Nothobranchius furzeri: one gene and its partner. Each later gene encodes a partner of the first gene's protein in a complex. Links are inferred from orthologs where the notes say so. Each region holds a gene or a part of one and is shown on either strand. Other genes may lie near its edges.

What was found. The genes of interacting proteins can lie anywhere in the genome.
Region 2: lsm11 (region 1) and lsm10 share a complex: the UniProt entries of both Homo sapiens proteins name them as parts of the heptameric ring U7 snRNP complex. The link is inferred for Nothobranchius furzeri from reciprocal best matches to the Homo sapiens genes LSM11 and LSM10.

The regions. Positions count from the first base shown.
Region 1 is NC_091742.1:46,326,241-46,337,073, reverse strand, and holds lsm11 (U7 snRNA-associated Sm-like protein LSm11), read right to left. Parts: upstream 7,229-10,833; 5' UTR 7,042-7,228; coding exon 6,525-7,041; intron 6,223-6,524; coding exon 6,083-6,222; intron 6,007-6,082; coding exon 5,923-6,006; intron 3,725-5,922; coding exon 3,407-3,724; 3' UTR 3,270-3,406; downstream 1-3,269. Other genes in the region: clint1a (clathrin interactor 1a), read left to right, coding at 99-291, 365-648; thg1l (probable tRNA(His) guanylyltransferase), read left to right, coding at 7,771-7,795, 8,023-8,233, 8,319-8,495, 9,035-9,204, 9,280-9,368, 10,043-10,150. UniProt on the Homo sapiens protein: Component of the U7 snRNP complex that is involved in the histone 3'-end pre-mRNA processing. Increases U7 snRNA levels but not histone 3'-end pre-mRNA processing activity, when overexpressed. Required for cell cycle progression from G1 to S phases.
Region 2 is NC_091759.1:27,045,479-27,056,323, reverse strand, and holds lsm10 (U7 snRNA-associated Sm-like protein LSm10), read right to left. Parts: upstream 6,892-10,845; 5' UTR 6,827-6,891; intron 6,370-6,826; exon of another isoform or gene 6,295-6,369; 5' UTR 6,236-6,294; coding exon 5,840-6,235; 3' UTR 5,769-5,839; intron 5,014-5,768; exon of another isoform or gene 4,877-5,013; intron 3,540-4,876; 3' UTR 3,464-3,539; downstream 1-3,463. Other genes in the region: protein OSCP1, read right to left, coding at 7,693-7,815. UniProt on the Homo sapiens protein: Appears to function in the U7 snRNP complex that is involved in histone 3'-end processing. Increases U7 snRNA levels but not histone 3'-end pre-mRNA processing activity, when overexpressed. Required for cell cycle progression from G1 to S phases.

The DNA.
Region 1 (10,833 bases):
TCTGTGTTCTCAGTGTTTGACGTTGTGTCGCGATGCTGTGTACTTTATTGAGCGATGACATGAATTGTCTAATTTGACATGCATCCGACTTTTCTCAGCCCATTCTAAACATCGGGGTTCCTATGCAGCCACAGTCGGTTCAGCAGGCAGCGGCCTCCCAAAGCTCCGGAGCCAAAGCATCTCTCCCGTCCACCTGGTCGGATCACACCGTGAACATCAGCCTGGACTTTCTGGTCCCAGGCGTGCAGCCTCCCAAGCCCAGCCAGCCGAGCCTCAACACCCTCCAGCAAGGTGGGCCTGCAGGGTTTCTGGTGGTCGGGTATCTTTCACTTTAACCTGTTAACTCATTTGTTTGGATTTCCAGGCCATCCGGTGCCTGCCAACATGCTCTCCCAGGGATTTTCCAGTATGAATCTTGGACCTACCAACATCAGACCACCTGCGAATGCGATGATGCATCCTGCTGCTGGAATGGGCATGGCTCCTAACCAGGCCATGATGGGGATGGGCATGAACATGGGGATGCCACAAGGGGGTATGACCATGGGAATGCCTGGTGCCATGGGGATGGGAATGGGGATGAACCCTGGAATGGTCCAGCAGCCCAAACATGACGCCTTTGCTGACTTTGGCAACTTTGGAAAATGATGAAACAGAAAATGTAATCAGAAGTGGTGGCAGCCTCTCGCCGTCCATAGTTGATGGATCATCATGAGCTCCAAACAAAGAGTACTTGAATAACATCCACGATGGTCTCACCAACACCCTGCAACCTCCCTGTTGTTTTAAATGATGTAGTCATGTGGATTTAAATGAATGTGTGTTGACTGAACCAATGATGCGTGTGCTGTGGAAGGGTGGCTGGACGTACTCTGGTGTTTGCCGGGCTGGGGCGGGGAGAAGAAAGTGCCACCGAGGGAAACTAAACGGGGATTTGCTTTATAACCTCAATCAAGGTAACTTCTACAGGTAGCTGGATAATTGCTGTTGAGAATACATACATCTGTATAACACCATCATCCATTTTAACTAGCTAGTGCACGCTGAAGATTCATTTACGTCTCTATGTCCCCCCCCCCCCATCTTTCTCTGACATGTAAATAGACATTCTGAGCCCTTGTAATACGTTGTGAGGTTCCTGTGAGAGGCAGCAGAAGTGTTTTACTACACAGACCAAACTGATGAGTCCAGATCTAAGAGCATGCTGTTCCATCTCATTCTCTTTGTGCACGAGTGTGAACTGTCCAGGTGCAGCGCTGACGCGGCACACGGAGCGGTTATCTGCTGTCAAACTGGTTGATTCATGCAAGGAATTCCTCCTTCAGCTAAACGAATCGTGGGCCTTTCTTTTTTAGGATATATCTATATTTTATGGAGATGATTATAGTCGGCGTGCATCCTAGTGAGATCAGTTAAAGCTCATACAGGGATCACGTTACAGCAGAGTGCCTAAAATCTCTCACTGACCTGAAGGCAGCTCAGGTCCGTCGTAGCCGTGTGTGCTGCCTGCAGACATCACATGCATGTGACTGTGCTGTTTATCCCAAGCACCTGTTTTCTTCCCGAGCGGTTCAAGCCCGTGGCGACACCTCAGGTTTGATCTGTGACTGTTATAAAGTTCACACGTGTTCAATGTTGCATCTTCTCTGTGCCTTCCATCCTCACTGGTGCTGCACACTTGTATGGTTGTCACAGCAACCATCAGTGCAGAACACCGTTACCATCTGGGTGGTGCTGGCTGGATGAAGATGTACTGATGGTTGTTGGCCCGTGATGACTGGAGCCCTCCTCAGCTGCGCTCCAGAGGTTTGTGGTTCAAGTGCCTGCTGACGACTGCTTCCCACCCCTTCTAATGAGTGATTGATAATCAGAACTGAATCGTAGCGGCCTGACATTTTTTTGTACGTTTGAGATGAATAACTGACGAGAGGAGGACTGGACTTCCCTCAGGGCTGCAGGCTGAGCACAGCAACACATAGCAGCCTTGCATTGATGTCTGAAGCATTGAAATGACCAAAATCTCTTTGCTGTTTCTTCTTCTTCTAATGTATATCAGTAGAAATGTTTTTTTACTTTAAATCATTCTGCTCCTTTTTTAAAACCAACGGGATTGTTACTGAACACTAGCGTAAGGAACCCCTTTAGAACCTTCTTTACGTTCTTCCCGCTCTGATTTGATTTCCACAACCAGACTCCTCGTGGACAGCATTAAACAGTTGATTTAAACGTGTTAATGATGTGTGTTATTTGGTGTGCTGTGTCATTAGCCTCATTCAGAACTGCTTCCAGCAGCAAAACCGATGCGCTTGGCTCTGAAATTGCATTTTACTTAATGTGACTTTAACTTTGTTGCTTGGTGGGAATAAAGCCAAGTGCATCGGGAGACTTATTCCCAAGCAGGCTACAGCACAGGTAGCCTAAACGACCAATGAGAGCAACGCAAAGTGTGTTTAAATAGCACCGCTTGAGCCTGACGGCCACACGATATCCACACTCCTGTAATTCATCAACAATTAAAATCCACCGTTAGAAGGTTGTCCTCGTTTATTTTTCTGGTGCAACATGGAGGACACAAGACGATGTGATTCTGGGTCATCTCTACCATCAGCGCCGTGGCCCTTTATTAGACGGAGATTTGTTTGAGCGCACTTGTGTGACAAACACGACTAAAACGCAGCTTGCATTAAACACTTGACCCCGTTTCCTCTCTCTGGAGAGGACAGTTAAATTGGCTACACTAATAATATTCTAATATACGAGCGGTGTGTACAGTAAATGAGCTAAAGTTCAACTCGTGATAAAACGCGCTCCACTTGTGACTTAAACTATATGGAAAAGAGGGTCAGTGATGTCTCCGGTCCAGAACCAGAACCGGAGCAGAGCAGCAGACGAGTGACAATCACTCCGTGCCACTTATAAGCACCCTCCTTCAGGAGAGAAACATTTTACAACTTCCATGAGATGCAGTAAATTGTGCTTTTATGGGTAATGTGCCCATTAAAGAGTAAAAAGCAATCTGAGACGTAAAGACAAATGACAGCGTTTGAGTGCCATCTGCAATCTGCAGCTTCACTAACTCCATTATTCATAATGCATTTATGAAGCCCGCCGAGACCGCGCTGTCGTCCCTGCTCAGACTAACGGGAAGAGCAACTTAAAGGGACAAGGAGCTCTTCCAGATGACAGTAGCTGCACAGCTGGACGGGCGTGTTTATGCTGCCACCTGCTGGCCAACAAGCAGAACACACTGGGAAGAATCTACAAACAGACCAGACTAGAAGTTTTATTCCTCAATAAATGAGATCATTCCTTTGGTGCACCATATCAATATGATATAACAGGCCCATCTCAATCTGGACATTGGTGAAGAGTCAAGCGTTTGTGTTTAATCCAGCAGGATTTTCAGTCAGAGGGGCTGCGGGTTGACCAGGATGACATTCTCACCGCGGATAAACAGCTGGCTGATGTGGCGTGTGCGCACCGTCCCGCACTTCTGATGGCTCTTCTGTGAGACATCATCTTTATCCTGTTTGCTCTTCGCCGTGCGGGACTGCTCGGACTCAGGCGTCCCGTCCCCTCTCGCACCAGCAGGCTGAGCAGGGCGGCTCTTCGGAGCAGCTTGGGGATTTGCAGGTTGAGGCTTGTTGGTTTCCTCTCTTGTTTCTTGCTTCTTGGCGGCCTCGTTGGCTCCCGAGTCCCGCTGCAGGCTCAGCTTCTCAAAGAGCTGCACAAAGATTATGTTAACGATGAAGAGTAGGACCTAAAAGACCAAAAGTACTACGGTGCTTTCATAAGATCACATCCTGAAGCCACTCGGACTCAGAAGGAAACGGTTTCTTAGCTCCAAAGCATTTGTTGGTGTGTTTCATGTAGGGATGCACCGATACGATGCCAATACCTGTATCGGTAAAAGTTAACCGATACCAGGAACCGATACCAATGCAGTTGCTTGAAAATGGCTTCACTGTAACTTGTCATTTCTGTTCACCTAATGTTTTAGTTTTGTGATGATTTCCATTCATATATTTTACTTTTTATCTACCTCACAGTCTTTTCCTGTGCAGAGAGGAAAATAAAATCTGTATTCCAAATCATTGCATTTTTTTGTAAGGTAGAAGTATCGGTATTGGTAATCGGTATCGGCGAGTACTCAGATCCAAGTATCGGTATCGTATCGATTTGGAAAAAAGTGGTATTGTTGCATCCCTAGTTTCATGCACATTCAGTCATGTTTGTTTTGAAGCCAAGGCCTTTATGTTGCACCTCTTAGCCAGGCTCATCGGTGTTTCAGCTCCTGCTTCAGCTTTAAAACCATGTTTCTGGTATTTCATGGATTCATTTAGAGCTGCAGCTGTTCGGGCGCTGAGGACCGACGCTGGTGAATTATCAGTTTTCTTACCGAGCGCCACAAACTAAACACTTTTTAATGATGTGACTATAACCCTTCTTCACAAAGGGACAGACTACTGCTGGAATGAACCAGTGCTTAGCGAGGGTCCCTTCCTGAACCATAAAACACACAATTGGATTTTTGAGTTGCAGAGCGGCCAATCACCAACTCACCCAGGTGTGCCCGTGTGGGTAGGCGCGTTGTGCCTGTAAACTACTGCTGCGTGGTTTCAGTCGCGTTTCTACTCATCATCTAACAGTGCAGCTATAAATCATACGGACACTAGAAGAGGCACAGATCTGACGGAGGACTTTTTAAACTTGGGTCAGACCCAAACGGTGCCGACACTGGGAGGTAACACCTGACAACCCAAGGCGTATTCCGACTCGGTGTTCCAGGGGGAAAGGATCAGGAAGACGGACTCCATGACTGGAGGACATCTGGGGCGATCCGAGCTCAGGACCTGATGTCTGAGCGGTGAACAGGTGAGCAGAACGTCCTTATAAGGGCTGCATAAATGTACCCAACATTTTTCTGGTGGACGATATGTCACGTGTCATTTCTTAACACGTCGGTCCGATAAATAGAACCGGGTCGACATAAACAACCAATATTTTTTCCATTTGGTTATCTGTTTCAGGGGGGGGGTTGTATTCGTTTGGTCATGTGACAGTGATGTAATCGTCTCAGAATCATAAATATGCGGTGTGTGTACACAATAATGTAAATTAAGCTTCAGTCATCTTCATTCTATACAGAATTTGCTGATTTTAGAAGCATTAATGTCAGCTTACCGGTATCAGCAAATATCGCTTATGCACTGAAACGGTGATATTAATATCACCGGTATTGGCCCAAAGATTTCATATCAGTGCATCACTCATTTTTATCTCCAGATTTTTACCAAAATGCCTAATTTAGACTCGTTTCCAGGCGTGTACACCAGGGCTGAACGACTTAGGGAAATTATCTATTTCCGATTTAATTCATTATTCCTTCCTCAAGTTGTTTTTCTCTCATTTTTCAACTAAAGCAAGCAAAAAATAAATCAATGTATTATAAACCATATCAGATTTATTATGCATAAATTATTGTTATGCAGCTCGGTCACCTGAGAGTTTGTTTACTGGTAGCTGAAGCGCTGGCAGCTGGTGGTGTGATGTTTGTTTAGGTAAAGGTCTGTGGCGTCACCTCACCGGGTAGCAACAGTAGCAAGGCAGGTTCTGCACAACACGCAGCATCTTCTTCTTTTATGTAACCAAAACATTTCTACACAACCCATGTGCTAAGCCTCTGTGGTTCTGATCTTTGTGCAGCGCTGGATTCTGAAGAGCCTGAGGTCATTCAGGTTAAAGCGCAACGTTCCCTGTTCCCTTCTCCCCGTCCTGTTTGAGGCGCTCACAAGTCCCGTCTTTCCCAGATTAGAAAATCTCATTCTGTCACATTATAATTCAATATGCAAATACTGTAAAACTTCTGCAAGTAGATTTTCAGCTATACATGAAACAACGAAAGAGAGAACTGGTACGTACTCGTGAAATTGTGAGTGCCTTCTCGTGGTACACGGCCTCTCCAAGCAGAGGTTCCCTGTACGTCTCGTCTACATCCACCATCGCCTGCCAACAACAAGCAGCATCCAGCGATGAATGACTAACATGGAAACAGCACAAAGACTGGAGTGGGACCGCTCACCATGTTCCAGAACTTGTCGAAGGCCACAACAAAGCCTGAGCACACTCCCCGAAGTCCTTTAAAGGTCCTGATGTGAACTTTGACCCTTATCCTTTCCTCCACGCAGCGGTACAGCTCTCCCAGAGGACTGCCCTTACACACTGAAGATACATGACAAGCAGGTTATGCAGCTGCACCTAGCCCAGCTCGTCAATCATGCAGCTGAAGCACACGCAGATTTCTGTAGGACAGGGTGAAGGCACGCTTACAAAACTAGAGAGTATAGATATAAATGATAGAAATACCGACATATTTCTGCTTTTATTGTGAAAATTGGCCCGTATATAACTACGAGTGTGACTGTGTTTTGACCTACATCGGGGTAATTTAAACAGGATAGCTCGTTAACTGGCTGGTATAGAGGTGGTGCTGCGTTATCTGACATGCCTTTAAATGAACCTACGGGGCATCCGTGTCAGGACATTCTTCTGGGGCTTCTGCCTCCTCTTCTTCCGGCTCTGGCCGCCACTGCCCCCCTCCTCCGGGTCCGACACCGGGTTGTTCACCATCAGCATCTTCAGCCTTTCGATCCGCTCCGGGTCCGCCACCCCTTTCATCGCCTTTCGCTGCCTCTTCTCCACGTTCTCCGGTTTGGCTCGGCCCCGGCCACCCTTCAGAAAACTCTCGTACTCTGCCACATTGTTGAAGCACTTGATGTTTGGGAAGGGAAGAGGTGCCGCGGACGGAGAGTACAAGGCCTGCAGCGGGTCAAACTTTTCAGAACAAACGTTTGTTTTTTCTGCGGCGTCGTCCTCGTCGTTAGCGCCGGCCGCGGGCTTGGGCTCTGCTGCGGACACCCTGCTGTCTGACTTCTTCTGTTCGCTTTCCTCCATGTTTGAAACGACCAAAGAGCGGGTCGTGGGGAAGCGAGGAATCCTGGGAAAGTTGTTGCCGGTGTTGTGCCTAAAAAGGTGTGCCATCCGACGAAATCGCCCTTCGTTCAGTTTTACGTCTTTTATCGCAAACTAGTGTTTACAAAAAATATGTAATCACAGCCACACAAACTACACGGTATAACCATATCAGTCTCCAAATGAGTGTTCTATATCATTTTGTTGTGGGAACAACGCCGGACATGTTTAACAGCTGCACAACTTATGACGAACAAAGTCATTCAAAAATTTAAATATATGCAATATAAATATAAAGAGTTAACTTTTTAAAATGTTGCGTTTGTAACATTTCAAGTAAATTTACAAAACACTTTTTCCCTTTCAGCCACTTTATTAACAGCTAAGGTGCTTGAGGTCAGGGGGACTTTATTTCAACACAACACCTATCAACACTAATTGTATTTATTCATTAGAAAACACAGCCCTCCTAAAAATGTAATGTGTTGTATTTACATTTATTTTCTGTAATATTTTGACATTATTTTCCAAGCTTTATATGTCCATTTTAAACATTTACGGGTAAATGCTAACTTTTAAACACTGGATGGCGCTAAAGTACAACAATCCCGGAAAGGATCTTTGCGAGAATTTCTTTAGGATTCCACATTAATATACATTAATTAACAAAATATCAACCAATTGTAATTTATTAACATTTTATAATGAGAACTAAGGAGAACTTTTTAGTTTTGCTTAAAAAAGGAAAAACAAAATGCCCGGAACCAATGTGACGGTTGAGGAACTACGACGAAGTTAATGAACGGACTGTACACAAACCAACGTGAGTAAAATAAAAGGTTTTTACGTAACTTTATGATATTATTTCTTTAAAACAGCATTTCTGTAACAAAATAAACAATAACCAACGCGTTTTAAATGCTAACTTGATACTGTTCATGAATAAATACAAGCTAGCTCTTTCAATGTAGCAGAATATTCATTCTAATCAACCCCGTTTCGGTTGTATTTTATTGCCTTGTGTCACTGTGTGTGCCTGATGTTTTCTAGTTCTCGGGAGCTCCTTAATGCTGACCAGAAGACTATCCGGACTTGGTGCAGGGGGTAGGACCTGGTTTGTCTCATCCATTTCTCGTTCTTTCGCCCGATCCAGCATCATGGCTAAGAGCAAGTTTGAGTACGTCCGCAGCTTTGAAACGGATGACACCTGTCTGCGGAACTGCTACATCGTTGTCAGACTGGACGGACGCAACTTCCACAGGTGAGCTTTCTCTTCATCCCAGAGACGTGACGGTAGGAGTCAGTACTCTGTGTTGACCCTTTCCCTGTATTTTAATGTGGTTCAGGTTTTCAGAGCAGCACGCGTTTACTAAGCCCAATGATGACAGGGCTCTGGGGCTGATGACCAGGAGTGCTCGCTCTGTCATGGAGGAACTGGAGGACATCGTCATTGCTTATGGTCAAAGTGATGAGTTCAGCTTTGTTTTCAAAAGGAGCTCCACCTGGTTCAAGAGGAGAGCCAGGTACTCCTGTTGAATTGTCATTTTGGGTCAACGGGGAAAAACTGGGATCTGAGAGGACAGGCAAGGGAAACGGACAAGCACGGAAGAGTTGGACAACCCAACCAGCTATCAGAATGATCAGAGGAGAGAGGGTGTGTGACTCACAGACGGAAACTAGAAGCTGGATCCACAAGAGCCTGAAAACAGGAATCTTTGTCTCTGTTGTACCGTTTGAAGCTCTAGGAGCCACATGTAAACCTGCTGTCTGAGACTGGTTCCTGGTGGAGCTTGGTCTTTTAGAGCTTAATGAGTTTCCCAGGAAGCCATTCGAGTGTTGCTAAAACTGAAGAAATAAGATCTCTCCTCCCAACGCTGACCTGAACTCTGGCAGAAACTTTGTGGATGTTTTTTTCTTCCATTCCATGTGAAGAAGTGCAATAATGAGGCCTATTAATGATGTGCCTGTCCCACGTTTGTTGGTTTGGATCTGATCAGCCTATTGTTGCTTTCTTAGAAACATAGAAGGGACTTACTTATTTTTTCTCTTGTTTTTCTTGCAGCAAGCTCATGACCCATGTGGCCTCCCAGTTCTCCTCATCATATGTGTTTTACTGGAAGGAGTTTTTCGGAGAACAGCCCCTCTTGTGTCCCCCGAGCTTTGATGGGCGTGTGGTCCTGTATCCTAGCAACCGTAACCTTAGAGACTATCTTTGCTGGAGGCAAGCGGATTGTAAGGAAACGTGATGTCCTGAATTCTGCTTGGATGTTACAAACGGGTGATCTAAACTCGTTCTGTATGTTTTAGGTCACATCAATAACTTATACAACACGGTGTTTTGGGCGTTGATTCAAAAGGGAGGACTCACTACCGCCCAGGCAGATGATCGCTTAAAGGTGAGAGCACTCAAGTATTAAACTAATGTCTTCCCTTCTTTTTCCCCGTTGTCTTCTTCTTGTTTAAAGTTTATTGTCCTCTAACTTGGGACATTAAATAAAATCCATCACTCAACAAAACATAAGGAATACATGTTCTACATTCCTCTGATCTGTAGTATGCGGTGCAGCCATAGTCAGTAGGATATTCAGTCTCGGCTACAAAAGTGCAGCTTAATAGTCAGCTTGGTCATTTTGTTAGAAAGTGACCAAACTTTACTATTTAATAAGTTTTCGTGAACACTTTAACCTTCTTTCAGGCAGATTGTCTTTACTTCCTGTGAATTTAAATAGAAGGGGATTTTATTCTCATCTGAATGATAGATGCAGCTGCACAAGGAGGAGGTATTTGTGTCCGCTGCCAGAGCAGCTGTTCTCCTGGCAGGACAGCAGCAGAGGGAATGTTTATCCTGGCTGCATGTTCGGACATCTCCAGTCATTAGTGGTTCAGGAAACTCTCCAAACCGTCCTGGAGGGAATAAAACTCTCCACGACCAGTTGGTGGCGCTGTTCTGATGGTGATCTGTTTGGAGAAATGAGTGATGTAGTGAAGCTTTAACCTGAACTCTTTTCGGGCCTTTTGTGGTCACCAAGGTGATACCTTCCACTTACATTGGCTTCTGTTTTGTTTTTAGGGAACGTTGGCGTCGGATAAAAACGAGATCCTGTTCTCAGAGTTTGACATCAACTATAACAACGAATCAGCTGTTCACCGGAAAGGAACCAGCCTCGTTTGGGAAAAGGTGAGATGCTGCAGAACGATACAGAACAGTCAGGGGAGGGGAAATCAGGGCTTATTGAGATTCAATCAGATGGATTTTTTTTTTTTACAAAATTACAAAATTGATCCTTTTTATTTTATTTTAACAGATTATTGTTGAGTGAAGAAGTTAAAAAGGATATTTTGAAGCATTCAGGTCCTTCTCAAAAAATCTTCATATTGTGATAAAGTTCATTATTGTCTGTAATGTACTGATAACCATTAGACTTTCATATATATTAGATTCATTACACACTGCTGAAGTAGTTCAAGCCTTTTATTGTTTCTAATATTGATGATTTTGGCATACAGCTCATGAAAACCCAAAATTCCTATCTCAAAAAATTAGCATATCATGAAAAGGTTCTCTAAACGAGCTATTAGCCTAATCATCTGAATCAACTAATTAACTCTAAACACCAGCAAAAGATTCCTGAGGCTTTTAAAAACTCCCAGCCTGGTTCATTACTCAAAACTTCAATCATGGGTAAGACTGCTGACCTGACTACTGTCCAGAAGGCCATCATTGACACCCTCAAGCAAGAGGGTAAGACACAGAAAGAAATTTCTGAATGAATAGGCTGTTCCCAGAGTGCTGTATCAAGGCACCTCAGTGGGAAGGAAAAAGTGTGGCAGAAAACGCTGCAAAACCAGAAGAGGTGACCG
Region 2 (10,845 bases), on another chromosome or scaffold:
AGCCCACTACTAGGCAGCACAGACCTCACATGATGTTCCATCCCGTTCCCAACCCAGACCACTCCAGCAGGAGACGCTACGTAGATGACATGTTAGACGTCCTTCACAAGGACAAACGGAGACACCAACAAAACACCTGAGCAGCATCGACGTCAACAACAACAAAGTTTACACATGAAGAAGAAAAAGACAAAAATAAACACGTACAGGAAACCAACACAAGGACCAACACTTATGGACATCAGAACATCCCATCACACATGAAGTATCAGTTATCAGAACGTTATACCACCGAGCTAACAGAAGAACGAGACCATAAACAAGAGGACCGACTAACCTGCAGATACCAACATGGACCATAACAACCAGTAATAACCCTTCCATAGATCACAGACACACCAGAAAATATCGGAGCAGATATACCCAGATATCAGCAGCAAAAGCCCCATTCCCACCTGTACCGGGTCGGCCCGGGCCGGGTAGCGTAGGTTGTTTACATATCTGGGTGGCCTGGAATTTTCCCGGGCCAACCAAGGCTCATTCTCAGCCCTCTTCCCGAGGGGTACTGCTTCAGGCCGACCAGGGCCAACACGCCCACTGCTGACAAGAAATTCACACCTTCCATTAGAGCAAGCCTCTGATTGGTGGGTAGAGTCAGCCCATTCACACCTTCCATTAGAGCAAGCCTCTGATTGGTGGGTAGAATCAGCCCACATGGGCTTAAGACAAGGATGTGTGGAAACAACCGGGCCCGACTGGGGCTACCCGGCCCGGGCCGACCCGGTACAGATGGGAATGGGGCTTAAATGACGGCGAGTCACATCGATACCATGCAGACAACAGGACATCAGCAGAAAGGGTTAGAGGAATAGCCACATCATGGACTGGGTCAGTACCCGGGTCATAGACACAGAACCATGAACAGAGGCGATGGGACAGTGTCATCAGCAAGGATACGCCGTCCTGTGTCAGAGGAAGTGATGTCACCAACACCGGCGATCTCTGATGACAGCTAGAGCTACTAAACATGTCAGGTAATCGATTTAACTGTAAGAATAAAAGTCTGGTTCTGACAGAACATGAGGTCCTAATGGAGCTGCAGAACATCAGGCCTGATGTTTCCTAAACAGGAGGCATCCTGACCAGATGTCTGAGCCACCTCAACTGGCTCCTCTCGACGTGGAGGAGCAGCGGGTCTACTCTGAGCCCCTCCTGGGTGATCGAGGTTCTCACCCTGTCGCCGCGATCTCGTTCTCTGTCCCTTCCCAAAGCTCATGACCATAGGTGAGGGTAGGAACGTAGAGCTTCTCCTTCTGGCTCAGCTCACACCGCTCCGATTGGTCGCCTCACACATCGATAAAGCCCACGTGACCGCTGCTGCCGATGAACGCTGACGAGCGGTGGCGCCACCATCTTGGATCAGCCATGTTAATAAATTTATACTAAATCATTCTCATAGACAGCTGAAACAAATGTTCTATGGTTCATATTTATGTCTTTATTTATCCAGATGAGAGGACTCCTTTCCCACGAGGGTCTGGCCCAGAGGCGTGGTTAGCTTTACACCAAAGAACAGGTGAGATGAACCAGATTAACAGACATGAAGACAACGTTCTCATGTAGAACACGTACGAGCAGTCAGAACGGACTGAAACAGTCTTTAGTACTCAGAAGAACACTGATCACAAACTATTGATCACCACGAATTATTGAGGGTAGATAATGGAATGTAGGTAGGGAGCTTCAGTGGTTCTGCAGCTCATTCCAGTCGTTGGAAGCAGCAAACTGGAATGAGGAGCGGCCAAAGGAGGTGCCAGCTTTGGGAGTAACCGTAGAGATGAGGTTACTGGAACGTAAACGGTGCTGGTTGTTGGAAGTGATGATGATGAGAGAAGATATGACGGGTTAGGGTAACCCTAACCACAACCAGTGTAACATCCTGCAGGAATGGAGCGAAGGCCAGTTAACGAGTGAGTACAGATCACATGATGAGTAGTGAAAGGGGCACCAGTGACCAAACGGGGTGCTGAGTGATGAATAATCGAGTTTATGAAGACGTGCTTTGAGAAGCAGCCACATACATATAGTGTCAATATAATTCAGAGAGAGGGTGAGAGAACCACTAGAACAACGTCTGGATGACAAGAACAGCTGGTGATGTTCTGGTTCGGTGTGTGTGTGTCCCTTTCTGCAGACCTAGAAGCTTCTTCTTCATCCTTTCCTTCTCGTGAACTCTCCCCATCTCTTCCATCCCCGTTGGGATTACAAACCACCAAAAGCATCTCTAATACCAGGTGGACTACTCTCTACCTGAGAGTCGGACTGTTCTTGGTACCCAGACATCAGCTCTGGCTGCTTTACAGCAGGACAGGACGCGGGGAGAGAGAGAGCTCGTTTTAGTTGTTTTGTTTTCATTCATCTGTTTTTAACCCTAACTGAAGCGTTCCGTGAGCTGAAACCCCTGAAAGAGGACTGATGCAGAACTTTTATCTGGAGCTCCTCTTCTGCAGTTAGAGGTGCGATCATCTCTCCAGAACCACCAACGTAACAAACATCACGTCTGACGGCCGTGGCGTCAGCATCAGTGCTGCACCTCTGTGTTTAGTCTGGTCCTCTTAGGCCGGGCTCACCAGCCACAGCCTCCTGTGAAACAATAGAAACACATTTAATTGGGGCAGCAGCAGCTCAGCAGGTGGAGCGGGTTGTCCAGTAATCGGAAGGTTGCAGGTTCGATCCCGGCTCCGGACAGAGAAGTCTGCTGTTGTGTCCTTGGGCAAGACACTTAACGCACGTTGCCTGCTGGTGGTGGTCGGAGGGACCGGTGGCGCCTGTGCTCGGCAGCCTCGCCTCCGTCAGTGCGCCCCAGGGCAGCTGTGGCTACATGGTAGCTCATCCCCACCAGTGTGTGAATGTGTGTGTGTGAATGGGTGAATGATACACTGTAGTGTAAAGCGCTCTGGAGTCCTGACTCTGAGAGGCGCTGTATAAGTGCGGGTTATTTATCATTAAAGGTGCATTATGTAGAAAAGAAGTGAACACGACATCCTGTGGGTACTGTAAACAACGCCGGACATTTTTGTCGGCTGTCATCAAATTACAATAGTGGGCGCTGCAGTATCAGCTTACAGGAGACAGGTGTGTGTGTGTGTGTGTGTGTGTGTGGGGGGGGTCATGACATGATGGTTAAATACTCACATCATCAGCTGAGGTTAGGGTCTCTGGTTGAAACAAGCACATCATGTTTATATTAGTGGTTATAGTACACACCTGTGGCTCTCAGCTGACATCAGTGGCCCCTGCTGCGGTGAAAACTCTGGGACACCCAGGTATGATCCTCACTGCGGTGACTGAAATACATGAGTGGGTGAGAAATGAGTTCAGGACGAGGTGTGTGGGGAAAGTATTGCACTGTGCCTCGTGACCGATAGCAGGATGTGTGCGTGTACGGATGCTGATGGCTTACTCTCTGAAGGAGAAGCAGGATCTCTGACAGCCCAGCTCTGACCAGCTGCAGGAAGCCTCACACCTTTTGTGGAAAGCTACAAAACACAACATGAGATTAGCAGATTAGCGTCTACATGTTGTACAAGAGGTCAACGCTAGTTTCTCGTGTTGTTCCTGCTCTTCGGTTTACTTATGCCTTAAATATTCTTACAATCTGTCTTTAACCTAAAACTGCATTTCTGATGATAATCAACCAAAACTCTCCCAAGGGTGGAACCAGAAAACGACTCTTCAGCTTGTTAGCATGTTAGCTAACTGTCCAGCCAGAGAACTGGGATGTATCTGCTACAGGAAGTTCTGTTTGGGTTCTACAGCAGCGTTCTTGTTTCAGCTGTAATACAAGTGGGTGTTTAGGAATAAATGATGAATAACGTCTCATTTAGCTTCACTGTCAGCAGTTAGCGTTAGCGGGCTAGGAGGTGCTGCTGGTGCACACAAACACACAACAGCAAAGTTAGAGTTACTAAATACAAACAACAAACAGGCTCAAACTTACTCGTTAAGAGTAATCCCGAGCTCTGGTCTCCAGAGTCTGCCGATTAGAGCGGGAATAATCCCACAGAGCTCAAGCACGCGGTCACTGCTGCTGCTATGGTTCGTGTCTGCCACAAGCTCCACCCATCTAAGATGGCGACCGCATTTCCTGCACCTGAGCGGCCAACAGAGCTCTAAATAAATATATCTGTGGCTTGCCCTACTCTGATTGCTCTGTGATCATTTGCTCTAGTCTGATTGATTTCTCTGTGATCATCAGAATCTGACTTTGGCCTCGTTGGCTGAAGAGGAGCAATCCAGAAAGAAAAGGACCGTTTCTATGGCAACCCCAGATAAAAATACGGCGCTTCACAAAAACAAAAAAATTAAAGATAAAAAGATTTTAAAAAAGTTTAAAATAAGAAAAAAAAAATCGATATAAAATGTAAGTAAAGGGAGAGAAAATGAAAGGAGAGGGACACCGGGGGATCTGGGAAAGGTGGAGCAAGAGCAGAACCAGGAGAGGGAGGTCCCACCAAACCCCAACAGCTGAGTTTAAAGGAGACCACTGAGTCCACTGGTCTCAGGCTCGGGGGGAGAGCTCCAGAGTCTGGGGACCACAGCAGCACCTCTGAACTTTAGCCTGGTGCTGCACAGCCAGTACAACCGGATCTGTTGGGTCAGGGCAGCAACAGAACCAACAGAGTGGTGTTTAGTCCCAGTTCTGATTCTGACCAGATTTAGACCCAAACTGGTTCTGAACCTAAGAGGATCCACATTCCTCCTGAGTTCTGCAGAATGGAGTTTTGATCCAGCAGAACCACCAAGGTACGTGCTGTTATCATGCTGCTGAAGCTCACAAAAGGCTCTTTGGACCAGAACCTTTCTCCTGACTCACCTCGGTTCTGATGAAGGTTTAATCGGCGCTCCTCGTCTCTGGCCACTCATCCCTCCAGTGGCTCCACAGAACCGAATCCTGCCTGGGAACTCCAGAAAGGACCATCTGGCTCTGACCCAGGTCCACTGCTCAGCCCGCAGGGTTCTGGAGAGTTCTGGTGGGCGGAGCAGGAAACAACTGGGCGGCTGCAGCCGAGATGAGCAGGAATGTCTGGGGGGGGGGGGGGGGGGGGGTGTCTCCATCTCACAGCTGACTCTGTTACGCTGCAGGTTCTGGTCTCTCTAGACCTGGACCTGTGGTAATGATGTGGTCAGGTTCTGACTCAGGCTGAATCGGATCCAAGTGGTTTTCCTGGTTCGTATCCATCCTCCTGCTGGAATAAAAATTCCCAGCAGCCTTCGTGTTCCAGAGGAACGCAGCTACTCCCAAACATGGTCTGGCCCTCCACCAATCAGAGACGGGCTGGAGACCCGCGGCTCCTGGAACTGCAGGGAGCTCAGAACAAGCATCCCGACCCGGCGCTGGAAGTCCCATCTGCATCAACCCAGAACCAGGACCACGACTAAAGTTCTGGTCAGACTGGGCCTCAGACAGGCTGCTGGTACCAGAGACAGAAGAGTCTCTCGTGTACCGCAGTGGGTCAGAACCGCCCATCAGCTGATCGGAGCTCAGCTCAGGACCTTTCTGAGCGAATAACATGAAAAATGTTTGTTTTTTACTAAAATATCTTCCTTCGGGATCATTTTAGCGTTGCTTCGTCTGGAAAAAGAATCCGAACATGAATTACTTCTGAAGTTTTGTGTTTTTAGTTTTGAACGTTACTCAGACGTCAGTCTTGTTGCCATGCAACAGTCCTCCTTTTGACCGAGGAGCGATGACATCGGGTGTTTACCGTTACCGCGCGAGCGTCACGATGTACCGACAAAGATCGCCCACTCCTGTGCCGAAGCGGTACCGGTCCGATCAGTTCGACTTCTTGGAGAACTCCTTCCTGCCTTCGCTGCCGAAGCTCCGGACTCTGTGGATCTTGTCCAGCTGGTTCTGGATGGTCTTCATCATGTCCACGTCATCTGGGATGTGCACGTAACGCACGTTCCTGCCGGTGATGAACAGGTCCTGCAGCTGGCGGCGCCGTCCCCGCCGGTCCTGGTACAGCACGTCCTTCAGACGGACGTTCATGAAGGCATCCACACTGAGCACACGTCCCTGGGCCGTGGACTCGTCCCTCAGGTCCACCGTGGTCACCCGGCCCTGGAGACCCTGCAGCAGAACCACCAAGCTGTTCTCGGAGATGGTCCGCTCACGAATCGAGTTAACCACTTCACCCGAGGCTGGAGCTCCAGCTGCTTCAGACTCCATGTCCTCTCCACAGGTTCTGGTGCCAGAAACCCGGGCTGCTCAGACCCGGTTCTCCTGACCTGAAACCAGAAGGAAGTTGACTGAAACGGGTCCGTTCATCCCAACAGAACCGAGCCAGACCTCGCCTTTGACCCGTATGATTATGAAGGACTTTCTCTGGCCGGGTTCAGTCCTGTTAGCTGATCCTGTTCTATCAGAGACCTGAACCAGGACCTGTCCCTCTGGTGGTCTCACGGAACCAGAACCGAGCTGTAGCACCTGCTAGCACCTGAGGCTAACACTTTCACTAACAACCGGATCTTTTTCCGGCTTTTCCGCTAAAAAGAGCATAAGCTTCAAACTTGAACCTCGAGACGGGACCAGATTTGGATCCTACCAGATCTCGTGTCTTTAACAGGAATCTCGCGAGACTTAAGTTTTGGGGTTGGCGCGTGCTCAGTGTGTGAAGCTAAAGTTTAGCTAAAGCAGTTTTTACCCGCCGCGGTCAGCATTCTAACGACAGCGGTGCTGATAACGAGGGTCCCGTTAAAATAAACTCGACACATCCGGGGAGATTCAAACTTTCACCAAACAACAACTGTCTGAACTCACCGAACTGCTGCCGCTCCGCGCTGGCTTCCGCTTACGTACGCATTCCATTTAGTGACGTAACTTCCGGATCCGGTTCTGAAAACTCTAAGACGAGTTTTCATTCATAATAAAATATGTTAAACATGTTCAGTCATCAGGAAAGCCAACGTTAAAAAAACAACGTGAACACGACTGCTTTTGAATATGATAACTTTATTTGTTTTTACCAGCGTAGACGACTTTACTTCTGATCGTGTGCGACTGTAGCCAGGGTGAGCCAGAACCAATGGGGTAGCCTCACCTGGCTTCACAGGCCAGGGAGTGTGCCTTGCTCAAGCAGATGACTGCTACACAATGAGCAGGCCTCAAACCTGCAACCCTCCTGTTACAAGGCAGCCACTTACCTCCTCTGCCATTGCCACCCAACGACAGAGCATCATTGTAAATCATGTTAAAACCAGACAACAATACCTTTATGTATTAATTTACCAGACATTTAGAGCTGAACTCTTGGGAATTTTCAGGTAAACAGACACAAAGTGGACGTTTCTGATTCCACGGACTAGATTATAGAGCAGCCTTCCCTTCGTATAAGGACCGGTCCCAGCTTGGAGCATTTTGATCTGGCCTTTATGTCAGACTCAGACATTGTGGTCATTTCTGTAAGATAGGCTTCTATCTTAGCTGATTTTGTTTGTTGCATGTATCCTAATGAAATGTTTTGTTATGATAGCTGTTTTATTGCTTGTGCCTTTGCTACAGCATCTTGGGGATGTACCAGTGCTGTATAGAGAAACGTGAGCTTGAACATCATAGGAAGTTATAAATATTGTCCTTATTTTGTTGACGTCAGACAGTCAGTCTGATGCTGTAATCATGGTATTCAGTCAGAGGTCATCCATCATGGCCAGCAGGTCGGCTCCAGTGCTGCTGCTTTCATCTCCAGGAATTGCTTCTTTGTCTGTGAACTGTCCAGCAATCTGAGCAAGCGTGGAGGTCGTCTCCTCGTCCTGAATCAGACAAATGTTGAAGCAAAAACAAGCTTCAGGGAGGAATGAATGAAAAGTCCCTGAACATACAGATTTAAGCCAAATTTAACAGGTGGAAATGTTCTTTAAATAACAAATGATTAATATCGAGAATTAAGGAAAGCTTGACATGGAGACCTGCCATTTTTCTCAGGGAGCTGGTGTTTATCTTCAGCTTTCTTCAGGAAAAAGACGACACTGGACAGATCTCTTGTCCCTCACTGGGACACACAGAGCCAGCTTAAGCCTAATTTATACGTCTCCATCAGCTCCACCAGGGACAGACACGCACGGACGGAGACATTTTGCCCTCATATGTCTCCGTCTCCTGGGGAGTGTTGCAAAGCAATTCCCTGCCAGGACACCAGAGGGCGTAGTGCTGTTCTGTGGTATCCTGTCATGTATCCGGTCCAAGGTAGTGTGTTTACTATTGTGTTAATGTTTTTTTTTTTTTTGTATTTTAGAGACTTTGTCCCTCATTCTCCTCCACCTCTTCATGCGCTCACCACCTCTAAACCCACATTTCCGTCCACAAATAAAAGCTTGCTGCACATCATTTAACTCCTCCAGTCACGGGGAATCAGACGTTAATATTTGTTGTTTTCAGCGAGGTATTCTTGAAGCTGCTCCATGTCTGCCGCTAGATATCCTCGGCTCTCTTTATGTTTTTGAGGGCTCAATGGCGGTGCTGTAGATGACAGCGGCGTCCTGACCAATCACAAGCTTGCATTCTCCATGTCGACAGAGGGATGTTTAGAAAAGAGAGCTCGACTCCGTCCGTCCTGGTGAGCCTGCTGGAGAGACCTCGCAAGGATGGATAATGGCTCTGTGTGCATCCATCCCGACGCAGATGGAGACGTAAAAGTTAGGCTTTAGTCTCCAGTTAACCTGACATGCATGTTTTTGCTCACTCCACACATGCTGAAGGAGAACATGCTAACTCCACACATGCTAGAGGAGAACACGCTAACTCAACACATGCTAGAGGAGAACACGCTAACTCCACACGTGCATGAGGAGAACACTCTGGAGGAGAACACGCTAACTCCATACATGCTGAAGGAGCACACGCTAACTCCACACATGCTAGAGGAGAACACGCTAACTCCACACATGCTGAAGGAGAACATGCTAACTCCACACATGCTAGAGGAGAACACGCTAACTCCACACATGCTGAAGGAGAACATGCTAACTCCACACATGCTAGAGGAGAACACGCTAACTCCACACGTGCATGAGGAGAACACTCTGGAGGAGAACACGCTAACTCCATACATGCTGAAGGAGAACACGCTAACTCCACACATGCTGAAGGAGAACATGCTAACTCCACACATGCTAGAGGAGAACACGCTAACTCCACACGTGCATGAGGAGAACACTCTGGAGGAGAACACGCTAACTCCACACATGCTAGAGGAGAACATGCCAACTCCACACGTGCATGAGGAGAACACGCTAACTCCACACATGCTAGAGGAGAACATGCCAACTTCACACATGCATGAGGAGAACACGCTGGAGGAGAACATGCCAACTCCACACGTGCACGAGGAGAACGCACTGGAGGAGAACATGCTAACTCCACACATGCCAGAGGATAACACGCTAACTCCACACATGCTAGAGGAGAACACGCTAACTCCACACGTGCATAAGGAGAACATGCTAACTCCACACGTGCATGAGGAGAACACGCTGGAGGAGAACATGCCAACTCCACACGTGCATGAGGAGAACGCGCTGGAGGAGAACATGCCAACTCCACACGTGCATGAGGAAAACACGCTGGAGGAGAACATGCTAACTCCACACGTGCATGAGGAGAACGCGCTGGAGGAGAACATGCCAACTCCACACGTGCATGAGGATAACGCGCTGGAGGAGAACATGCTAACTCCACACATGCTAGAGGATAACACGCTAACTCCACACATGCTAGAGGAGAACACGCTAACTCCACACGTGCATGAGGAGAACATGCCAACTCCACACGTGCATGAGGAGAACGCGCTGGAGGAGAACATGCTAACTCCACACGTGCATGAGGAGAACACGCTAAATGCACACGTGCATGAGGAGAACATGCTAACTCCACACGTGCATGAGGAGAACGTGCTGGAGGAGAACACGCTAACTGCACACGTGCATGAGGAGAACGCGCTAACTGCACACGTGCATGAGGAGAACACGCTAACTCCACACGTGCATGAGGAGAACGTGCTGGAGGAGAACACTCTAACTGCACACGTGCATGAGGAGAACGCGCTGGAGGAGAACACGCTAACTGCACACGTGCATGAGGAGAACGTGCTGGAGGAGAACACGCTAACTCCACACGTGCATGAGGAGAACGCGCTGGAGGAGAACACGCTAACTCCACACGTGCATGAGGAGAATGCGCTGGAGAACACGCTAACTCCACACGTGCATGAGGAGAATGCGCTGGAGGAGAACACGCTAACTCCACACGTGCATGAGGAGAACATGCCAACTCCACACATGCATGAGGAGAACATGCTAACTCCACACGTGCATGAGGAGAACACGCTGAAGGAGAACATGCTAACTCCACACGTGTATGAGGAGAACATGCTAACTCCACACGTGCATGAGGAGAACACGCTAACTCCACACGTGCATGAGGAGAACGCGCTGGAGGAGAACATGCTAACTCCACACGTGCATGAGGAGAACGCGCTGGAGGAGAACACGCTAACTCCACACGTGCATGAGGAGAACATGCCAACTCCACACATGCATGAGGAGAACATGCTAACTCCACACGTGCATAAGGAGAACATGCTGGAGGAGAACATGCTAACTCCACACGTGTATGAGGAGAACATGCTAACTCCACACGTGCATGAGGAGAACATGCTAACTCCACACGTGCATGAGGAGAACACGCTGGAGGAGAACATGCTAACTCCACACGTGCATGAGGAGAACATGCCAACTCCACACGTGCATGAGGAGAACACGCTAACTCCACACGTGCATGAGGAG